2 separate regions of the Mus musculus genome follow, and region 2 is reported to be linked to region 1. The links are microRNA targets in miRTarBase. Many come from high-throughput screens and were not tested one by one. Region 1 holds a microRNA gene; the other region holds the end of a gene's coding sequence.

Region 1 (4,214 bases):
GACTCTCCATGTCATTTTAGAAAAGCAAAGAGAGGGCCAGAGAGGAACTTTATTGTGTACACATGCAAGTCTCTCTCTCTCTCTCTCTCTGTGTGTGTGTGTGTGTGTGTGTGTGTGTGTGTGTGTGTGTGTATGCATATGTGTATTGTGTGAGTGCATGTGCACATATGTGGCATGACACAGCAGAAGTATGGAGATCAGAGGACAGCTTTCAGGAGTTTGTTAACCCACTCTATGGAGCTTGGGGATGGAGCCCAGGTCACTAGGCCTGGCAGCACCTTTACCTTCTGGCTCATCTTCCCAGCCACCCAAGGATGTTCTAAGTTTGTGAAATGTACCCTACTCATACCAAGGCCCTCACAGGAGACATCTTAGAACTAGAGTGTTCACAGAGCCCTGGAGTTCCAGGTGCAGCAGAGCCCACAGTGCCATTAGTAGCTGTAGTCTATCTGATTGGGATAGGGAAAGAGAGGTGAACAGGGCCAGGCATGGGTGAACGCTAACTGGACCATTAATGCACACAGCCCACACAATGCTAAGCTGCTGAGTATGAGAGCACCTTGTCAATGAAGACAGTCCCCAAAACTATGGTAGAGGAGAGTGACCTGTCCCTCCCATCAGAGGTTGTGTCCAACAGAGATGATCAGAGTCATGTGGCTGTGGCTCCATTTCTTTGAGATATGCACAGCTCTAGCGTGATGCCAAGTAGGAAAAAATGTCACCTATGGAAGATGGGATGTAAAGATTGACTCTATGGCATACAAGATAAATAGACCGAGTCTACCTAACTCTCTCTCTCTCTCATGATTCCCAGCCAGAGAAGGGATCTAGAAATCAAAAAGAAACCTAAAATTAGATGTCTTACTCTGAGGCTGTACGATTGATTCTCTGGCCCTTTCCTTCCTTCTCTTAGTCATTATCAGAAGGCAGCCTCCGACCACCCTCTATGCATTAGCTCTACCTGTGACAGTGTTCTCAGACCATAATGACTATAGGTATCGCCTTCTGAGACCCATGGCCCCACTGAGGCTCTGTTCTTTGCCCAGCTGAGATGTGGTTGCTTTTCGCTCCACAACTCCCCCTCTACTGTACCTCAGAGCAGCAGAAATGATTGGCTATCGGCCCAGGGGGCCAGGAGACCCTGCCTGCAAGGTCCCCAGGAGCCTCTCGAGTTGTGGGATGTTGAAGGGAGGATTTGCCTGGAGATGAGATTATGCTGTGCTAGACCATGTCTTTATTTAAGAGGAATAGACTGCCATGGGGCTCTTCAGCTGTGGGGGCAGTCCTGTGTCACAAAGCATGAGGAAAGGTTTTGCTGATTTTCATGTCTTATCAGATTACATAGTGGGGTGGCATGGGACAGATTTTACAGGCTCAGTCCTGGGTTAGTATGTAATTGGTGTGTCAGCTGCCAGAATGCTCTTGGATATGAGTGTATGAAGGTTTCCCACCTTGTCCCTCTTTGCTGCTGAGTCTCCCTGGGGCAGGGCACTGGGAGGTGGGGGCCCCTGTCTTTGGCAGGATCCAGTGGACCGCACTCCTGGTACTAATCACGCTCAGTGGGGGCCTGCTCTGGCTTCAGCTTCTCCACGCTGCTTCCTCTGAGCGCTCCTGTCCTCTCTCTGACGCTGCTTCCTGACCTTGACTCTGACCAGTTGCCGCGGGGCTTTCCTTTGTGCTTGATCTAACCATGTGGTGGAACGATGGAAACGGAACATGGTTCTGTCAAGCACCGCGGAAAGCATCGCTCTCTCCTGCAGCATGGCCTGCTGCCACCGCCGCCGCCACCACCACCACCACCACCGCTGGACTCTTCTCTGCTCTGGATCACCGCGCCTGCCAGACCCACTTCTCCCAGTCTTAACTCCCAGAGGGAAGGGGGTGGGAATCCTGAAGGAGTCAGGTACATGGTGACAGGAGGTTAGAGAAACCCACGGGGCCGTGCTTCGAGTATCCACATTACTTAATGAGATGTAGTCACTATGCTCCAAGTCTGGTCTCAAGGGATCCTCAAGAGTAGCAGCTAGGTTCCAACTTCCCATTTTAAGAAGACAAGTATACCTAAGATATATGCCCCAGGGTTTCATGGGAGAGACCCAGTACAGGGACACTACGTGGTAGCTAATGCAGAGGGTGAGTCGCTCTTGACTTTCACCACTCTTGGTGTGCATTTCATTTGAAATGAATGTAGGAAGAGAATGGGTAGAACAGACATGGGTCTGAGACTTTGAACTTGAAAGGGGACTCCTTCTGACCCCGATGAACCCCGATATCCAACCTGATAGCCTTGGACCATAGCTTACATGGAAGCGTGGGGCTCTTCATATGGTGCCATTCAGAGGCCTGGAGAGGTCTGTGCAGACACCGGCTGTCTCTGACCACAGAGGGATCTTGGCACCATCTCTTTAACTTGTGTCTTGATAAATCCTGGGCCCAATATAATTAGAAGACTTTGTTGTCACTTTTGGGCTGGAGTCTGTACCTTACTCCAGGAGCTAAGGTGGACACAGCCATACTTAGCAGTAGGAGCCAGATTCTGTGTCCCCACCAAGCTGTGTGACTTAACTATCTCCTCTCTGGTTGTGACCCAGAGAAAGGCCCCAGCCACTGATGAGTGATAGCTGTCCTCTTGGTCTCTCTGAACATTGGAATGTATACTTACCATCATCACCCTTATAATACTTTAGATTCCATTTTACAGATAAGGGTATTGAGGCAGGATATTAACTAGCTGGTCAGGGTTATCTAGCTCCCAACTGGCTGGGCTTTACCTCCGTGCTATTTAGCTCTCCCTTGTCTGGACACTCATTGCCTTGAAAAGACTTTTTTTTTTTTTTTTTTAGAAACTTTGACTTGAATTGATGACAAGTTGAAGATGTTTCTTATACTCTATTCCCAGCTTCCATCTCTTACTAGAAATGACTGGAGTAAAAAGGAGAGAAAGCATTGTTCAAGTGCCTTTTCTTCTCCAACAGGATCATACAAGATCTCATGGATACAAGCAGCCCCTCCTACATAGAGAAATGTCCCACCCCTCCTTGCCGAGGGAACACTTTTAGCACTGCCCACATCATGCCAGGGCCAGGCCTTGGGGAGCGAATCCATCATGGCGCCCTTCCTTGGCACCTCCATGATGCTACAGCAGCAGGCTTGTGGCTGCACCATGGGCCTCTCCCTCTGCTTTCAGGCAAGCAACTGAGCTGCAGAGACAGCTTCCTGCTCAAATGATAGCCATACTCCTTCTAAAACAGCTAGTGTTTCTCAACCACAGGTGTCTGGTCCCCCACAGCCCGGCAGAGGAATGGGTGTCTGTGTATGCAATGTCCTTGTTTCTGTTCACCACTCACGACTCTACCCTCCGCTTGTCCGTGTTCCTTCCTTCTCAAGCTGATAAACCCTGACAGGCCTTTGACCACCCCCACCCCTGTTTCTTCCTCTCATCCCAGCCATCTTGGGGATGCTTGGGATAGAGGAGAACTCTGGATACAGGCATTGGCTCCCCCCACTGACCACATAATGATAAACATGTGGATTCTGTACCACATGCTGGCTGCCCGAAAGCTAGTGCCCAATGTAGCCAGCCAACATCAGCAGCCACCCTATCTGTGTCCCTTACTACTTCTGATCCTAGACCATCCAATCTGCTGGTCTTCTAGATGTGTCACGCTGCCCTCCCAGAAGTAGATGCAGGACAGGGATATATAATAAAGTAAAAAATAAAATAAAATCACTGCTGTCGATTTTAACCTTTCACCCAACTTCCATCTATTAAAGTCTGTCTCTGATTATGTACCATGTGTTATTGTTCTGAGATGCCTGCAAACGGGGAGAGGGCTACAGGGGCAGAGGCAGGCAACAGCCAGGTGACATCAGATCCTCTGAGGCCATCTCCAGTTGGGGTTGGACTATATGGCCTGTCTTCGAATCCTGCAAGATCTCACCCACCTGAGCTCACCCCCAAAGAGAAAGAGCTGAAACCTGTTTCAGTTGGTTCTCTCCCCCAAAGGATTTCTGGCAGTGACAAATACGTGTTGAGATTGAAATTGACTTTTAAAGCTCTGGAAAAGTTAAAAATACTTTTGGGTAGTTATGAGCATTAGGCATAACAAATGGCTCCGAGGAACCCCGGGTAGCTTCCGTAATGAAATATGAAGTGACAGAGGTGGCATTTCGTGCTGGCTCTGACTGGGAAATGAACTTTTTCGGTTATGTAC
Region 2 (4,214 bases), not on the chromosome of region 1:
GCAGTGTGCTCAGGTTTTCTGCATAGATTTTTTAAACTAAGCTTGTCTGTAGCTTCGTGTTTATAGCATTCGCATGGCCAGTTAAGTACATAATGAAACATACTTAGAAATCCTTAATGATGCTGGTCAGGTCAGTGACATTACTGCCCCATTTAATTATCACAGCTTAAATGTCACAATTTCATTGCTGGAAAACTTACCTAGGGCAGTATCTCGTTACATTTAAAGAAGCCACTGACGTGTCCCCAGATTCCGGGTTTCCTAAGTGGGATTTAATTATGTGCCCATCAAAGACGACGACGACGATGACTATTTTTCTTGACCATTATTTGATGGCTAACAGAAGCATCCATCTCTAACATTGCTCACTTGTGTAATCCTTTGGTGCAGTTTGGCTTGGCATGTCGGTTCTTATGCTTAACTTTAATTTATTGCAATTTAAACGTAACAGGAGACTTCAACTGTCTTATTTTAAATTGGATGCCACACTGTGCATCTGGCGTGTGCTTAGTAGGAAGAAATGACACGAGCTATCGATGGGAGGACTCTTAGTGCACTGATGGATAAGAAGGCTCATTTCAAATGGAACTGGCTTATTAACCAAAAACTTGGTTCGTATCCCATCACTGCATTAGAGAGGAAATAAGTAGGAACAGAGAGTAGATGCCCCATGGAACAGATCCTGGAGCTGTTAAAGGACAACCAGAGCGCCTGGGAACACAGATCAGTGCATAGTGCTTGCCCAGCATGTGTGAGGCCCTGGGTTACCCCTTCCCTAGTACTGCATGCAAAGGGAATGGCGGTGAGTCCCAGCACGTGGGAGGTAAGGGTCAGGACCAGGAATTCAGCATCACTCTTGGCTACACAGTGAGTACAATGCTAGCCTGGGCTACAGGACCCCTGTCTCGAAAACAAAAACCCCCAAACACCCCAGTAGAAAAAAAACCCGACCCAAACAACAACAAAACAGACAATTAGAAAACCTCATGACTTGCTCTAGATTTCTGTATTTAACAACTTTGGGAAACAAATCTTTGTGAAGAAGATAAGCTGAATAGGCCTGTCTTGTTAAAAAAAAAAAAATAAGGCTCAGATGATTTCAGTGGTCTTGGGAGAGAAGGATATCCCTTCTCTTTAACTCTTTCGGGAAGCAGACAAGGAAGAAACAGCCCCCAACTCATGTGAGCAGTAGGACTCGGATAAGAATTCCCAGCTTGGGAACTCTATCTTCATGTGCTGATGCCCCTTGCTGAAGGCAGCTCTTCTTAGGTGGGACACAGGAACCAGTGCATCTTTCACTGCACGTTTCTAGTTTTGTTTCTTTGGGAAGGAAGGACCAGACAGCCAGATGTTGTCTCCCATTTCCACAGATTTTCTTTCCAGTCAGGACACCCTTCACTCTTCGGGTCTGTCCAGCACATCGGAATCATCACACTGCAAGCCATTTCAATAATTTTTTTGGTATGGTCTGATTGTGCTAGCTGTCTTAAAAGTTTAAGACACTTCCCCAGTATTCTTCCCCTTCTTGTTGAGAAACAGGGCACTGAGTACTTCCATGTGTTCTGATTAGGGATGCCTGACTTCCACGTGTTCTGATTAGGATGCCTGACTTCCATGTGTCCTAATTAGGATGCCTGACTTCCATGAACCCATTTCAATGGTGTAGCTGACGCTGTGACCGTGCTATGCAAAATCCACTGTGTCCTTTCTATGGAAATGGAATTTTCATTTACTATATCAAATTGTCAATCTAGTTTTTATAATAGTTGACTCAGATCCTTTATAAGATGGCATTATCTGTCCTTTATTTAAAGTATGAATAGTACACAGCTATGTTGTGTATACACAGAAGAGACTTTGTAACCTAAAGAATATAGCAGAATAAGTTGTACATTCCTACTGACTGAAACAGTGGTTCAGTCATAAGAAGATGCTGATAAATACGACTTGACCAGTCTGTCAGCCCAAAGGAACGGACCTCAGTTCTCACTGCTTATATTTTGTTTTGCACAGACATTCATCAATCATGACTAATGTATGTGAGGGGCAAGTCTTCTGAATATACCTTTCATTTTGGACCAAACAATTTGTCATGGCAATAAATAATTATGCATTTAAGAAAACAGATTTTGTCTTTGACTTATATTTTTTAGAACTTTTAATTTTTTTATTTCATGTATGTGGATACACTGTTGCTGTCTGTAGACACACCAGAAAAAGACATTGAATCCCATTACAGATGGCTGTGAGCCATCATGTGGTTGGCTGGGAATTGAACTCAGGACCTCTGGAAGAGCAGTCAGCGCTCTTAATTGCTGAGCCATCTCTCCAGCCCAAGAGTTATATTTTTAATATATAGTAGGGATTTTGAACTCGCCAAACTAGGATGAAGTTTATTTAACAGCATGGGTTTTGTTTCCCTAATAAACAGGGAAGCGTTTTGATGCATACCTATTGCAAAGCTGTTGTAAGCCTTAGTTTTCTTGCTGATTTGTTCCTGACATGAATGGTTGTAATTTTTTTAAAGATTTATTTATCTTATATATGTGAGTACACTACCATTGTCTTCACACACACCAGAAGAGGGCATCAGAACCCATTACAGATGGTTGTGAGCCACCATGTGCTTGCTGAGAATTGAACTCAGGACCTCTAGAAGAGCAGTTAGGGCTCTTAACCTCTGAGCCGTCTCTCCAGCCCCCGAATGTTTGTGATTAAACGGACAAATAAATCTTTTATATTAGTACATGATAGAGAGCTAAAAGTCACAGCTGGGCGTGGTGGCGACGCCTTTAATCCCAGCACTCGGGAGGCAGAGGCAGGCGGATTTCTGAGTTCGAGGCCAGCCTGGTCTACAAAGTGAGTCCAGGACAGCCAGGGATACACAGAGAAACTCTGTCTCGAAAAACCAAAAAAAAAAAAAAAAAGAAAGAAAAAAATCAGATGTGAAGTTGGAATCATTTAAATGTATATTATGAAAATAAGCTCTTTATTCTTCAGTAGGGAAGACCCCAGGAGTCTTTAGATTAAAGTGAAATAATTGCTAACATTGTTGAAAGCTAATTAAATCAGTCAATCCTGGCCTGCTCTCGAGTGTCTGTTAACGTGTGTTGGTATGTGTACACTAAGACAGACATGCAACCATACAACAATTTTGAAAACAACTGAAATGTTTCTCTGGCTGAATTGTTTTACACAGGCCTCTCTTTGTTGACTAAGCACCTAGGAAAGAGAATGCAGTTGACCATGATTAGTTCAACTAACTTTCTATATTAAGTATCATGGAAATTCGATAATCCTAAAGCAAATGGTGTCTTCCAGCAGAGTTAGTGTGTAGCCTAGGGGCCTTGGCAAGCAGGTCCATCAACCACGGATACACCTGCCTGCCTACTCAGATGGCAGAATTCATCTGTTCACCGAGCATAAGACATCTGATACCCAGCCCTTTACAAAAAGGTTCGCTGACTGCTTTTTATATACTTGTTAGACAAAAAGCCTCAAAGATGAGCTTGTTGAAAACAAAAAAAATGACAGGTATCTTAAAGGACACAAAATATATACAGAAAATAAAGAAATGTTTTGTTCCTCTAGAATATAATTTGAAAGATAAAAGTAGTGTTTTTACAACAAACGTTTAAAATTGAACTGTTTTACAAGAAACATTTAAATAACATATACTTGTTTTCACTACTGATCACTGCACAAAGCTGACGAAATACAGAGAGCATTTCTGTGATTAAACAAGAAGTCTAACATTAGGAATTTTCTTTAGGCTTCCACTTCCACGGCTGCTGAGACTACGCAGACTTGCGCGATGTCATCATATTCGTATGTTCTCTTTAGAAATGTGTCAGTGAGTCTTAAGCCAGAGACACTCTAGAGAGAGAGAGAGAGAGAGAGAGAGAGAGAGAGAGAGAGAGAGAGAAAATATGAGATGCACCTCAGTGTTCACTCATTGATAATTACCATGGAAAATACAGCTATCAGAAATGATGACTTAGCCCACCCGGTTGAAATCACTGAACAGCACGTACTTGGAGCCCCTGTACTGAGGACAGGAGCGTCAGGGCCAGGCAGAGCGAGGAGCTGGGGTGCAGTTTCCCCAGCTGTCGTCCTGAGATCCCACACCAGTGGATGGAATTGGTGTTGCACATCTCCAGCACGAGGTCCATCATCCTCTCACTGCTGAAACAATCAGAAACCAGGATAAATCT

What was found. Region 1 holds the annotated microRNA mmu-miR-218-5p (UUGUGCUUGAUCUAACCAUGU, at 1,674-1,694, shown strand). A microRNA usually pairs through its seed, bases 2 to 8, with sites in the 3' UTR of a target mRNA and lowers its output. Matches are read on the target gene's strand: a 7mer-m8 pairs with bases 2 to 8, a 7mer-A1 pairs with bases 2 to 7 and ends in A, and an 8mer does both.
Region 2: miRTarBase lists Trappc13 as a target of mmu-miR-218-5p. Seed matches in the 3' UTR shown: 7mer-m8 at 2,623-2,629.

The regions. Positions count from the first base shown.
Region 1 is chr11:35,615,167-35,619,380 of GRCm38, forward strand. It overlaps Mir218-2 (microRNA 218-2), which reads left to right and starts at 1,650; the gene lies at 1,650-1,759. All of the region lies in intron 14 of Slit3 (slit guidance ligand 3), which reads left to right.
Region 2 is chr13:104,140,370-104,144,583 of GRCm38, forward strand. It overlaps Trappc13 (trafficking protein particle complex 13), which reads right to left. Exons shown (of 13, transcript NM_001093759.1): 12 at 4,035-4,182; 13 at 1,784-3,876. The coding sequence ends at 3,769. Sgtb (small glutamine-rich tetratricopeptide repeat (TPR)-containing, beta) reads left to right here. Exons shown (of 11, transcript NM_144838.2): 11 at 1-1,492. Among named protein-coding and RNA genes, the nearest start is that of Sgtb, 33 kb to the left of the region's middle.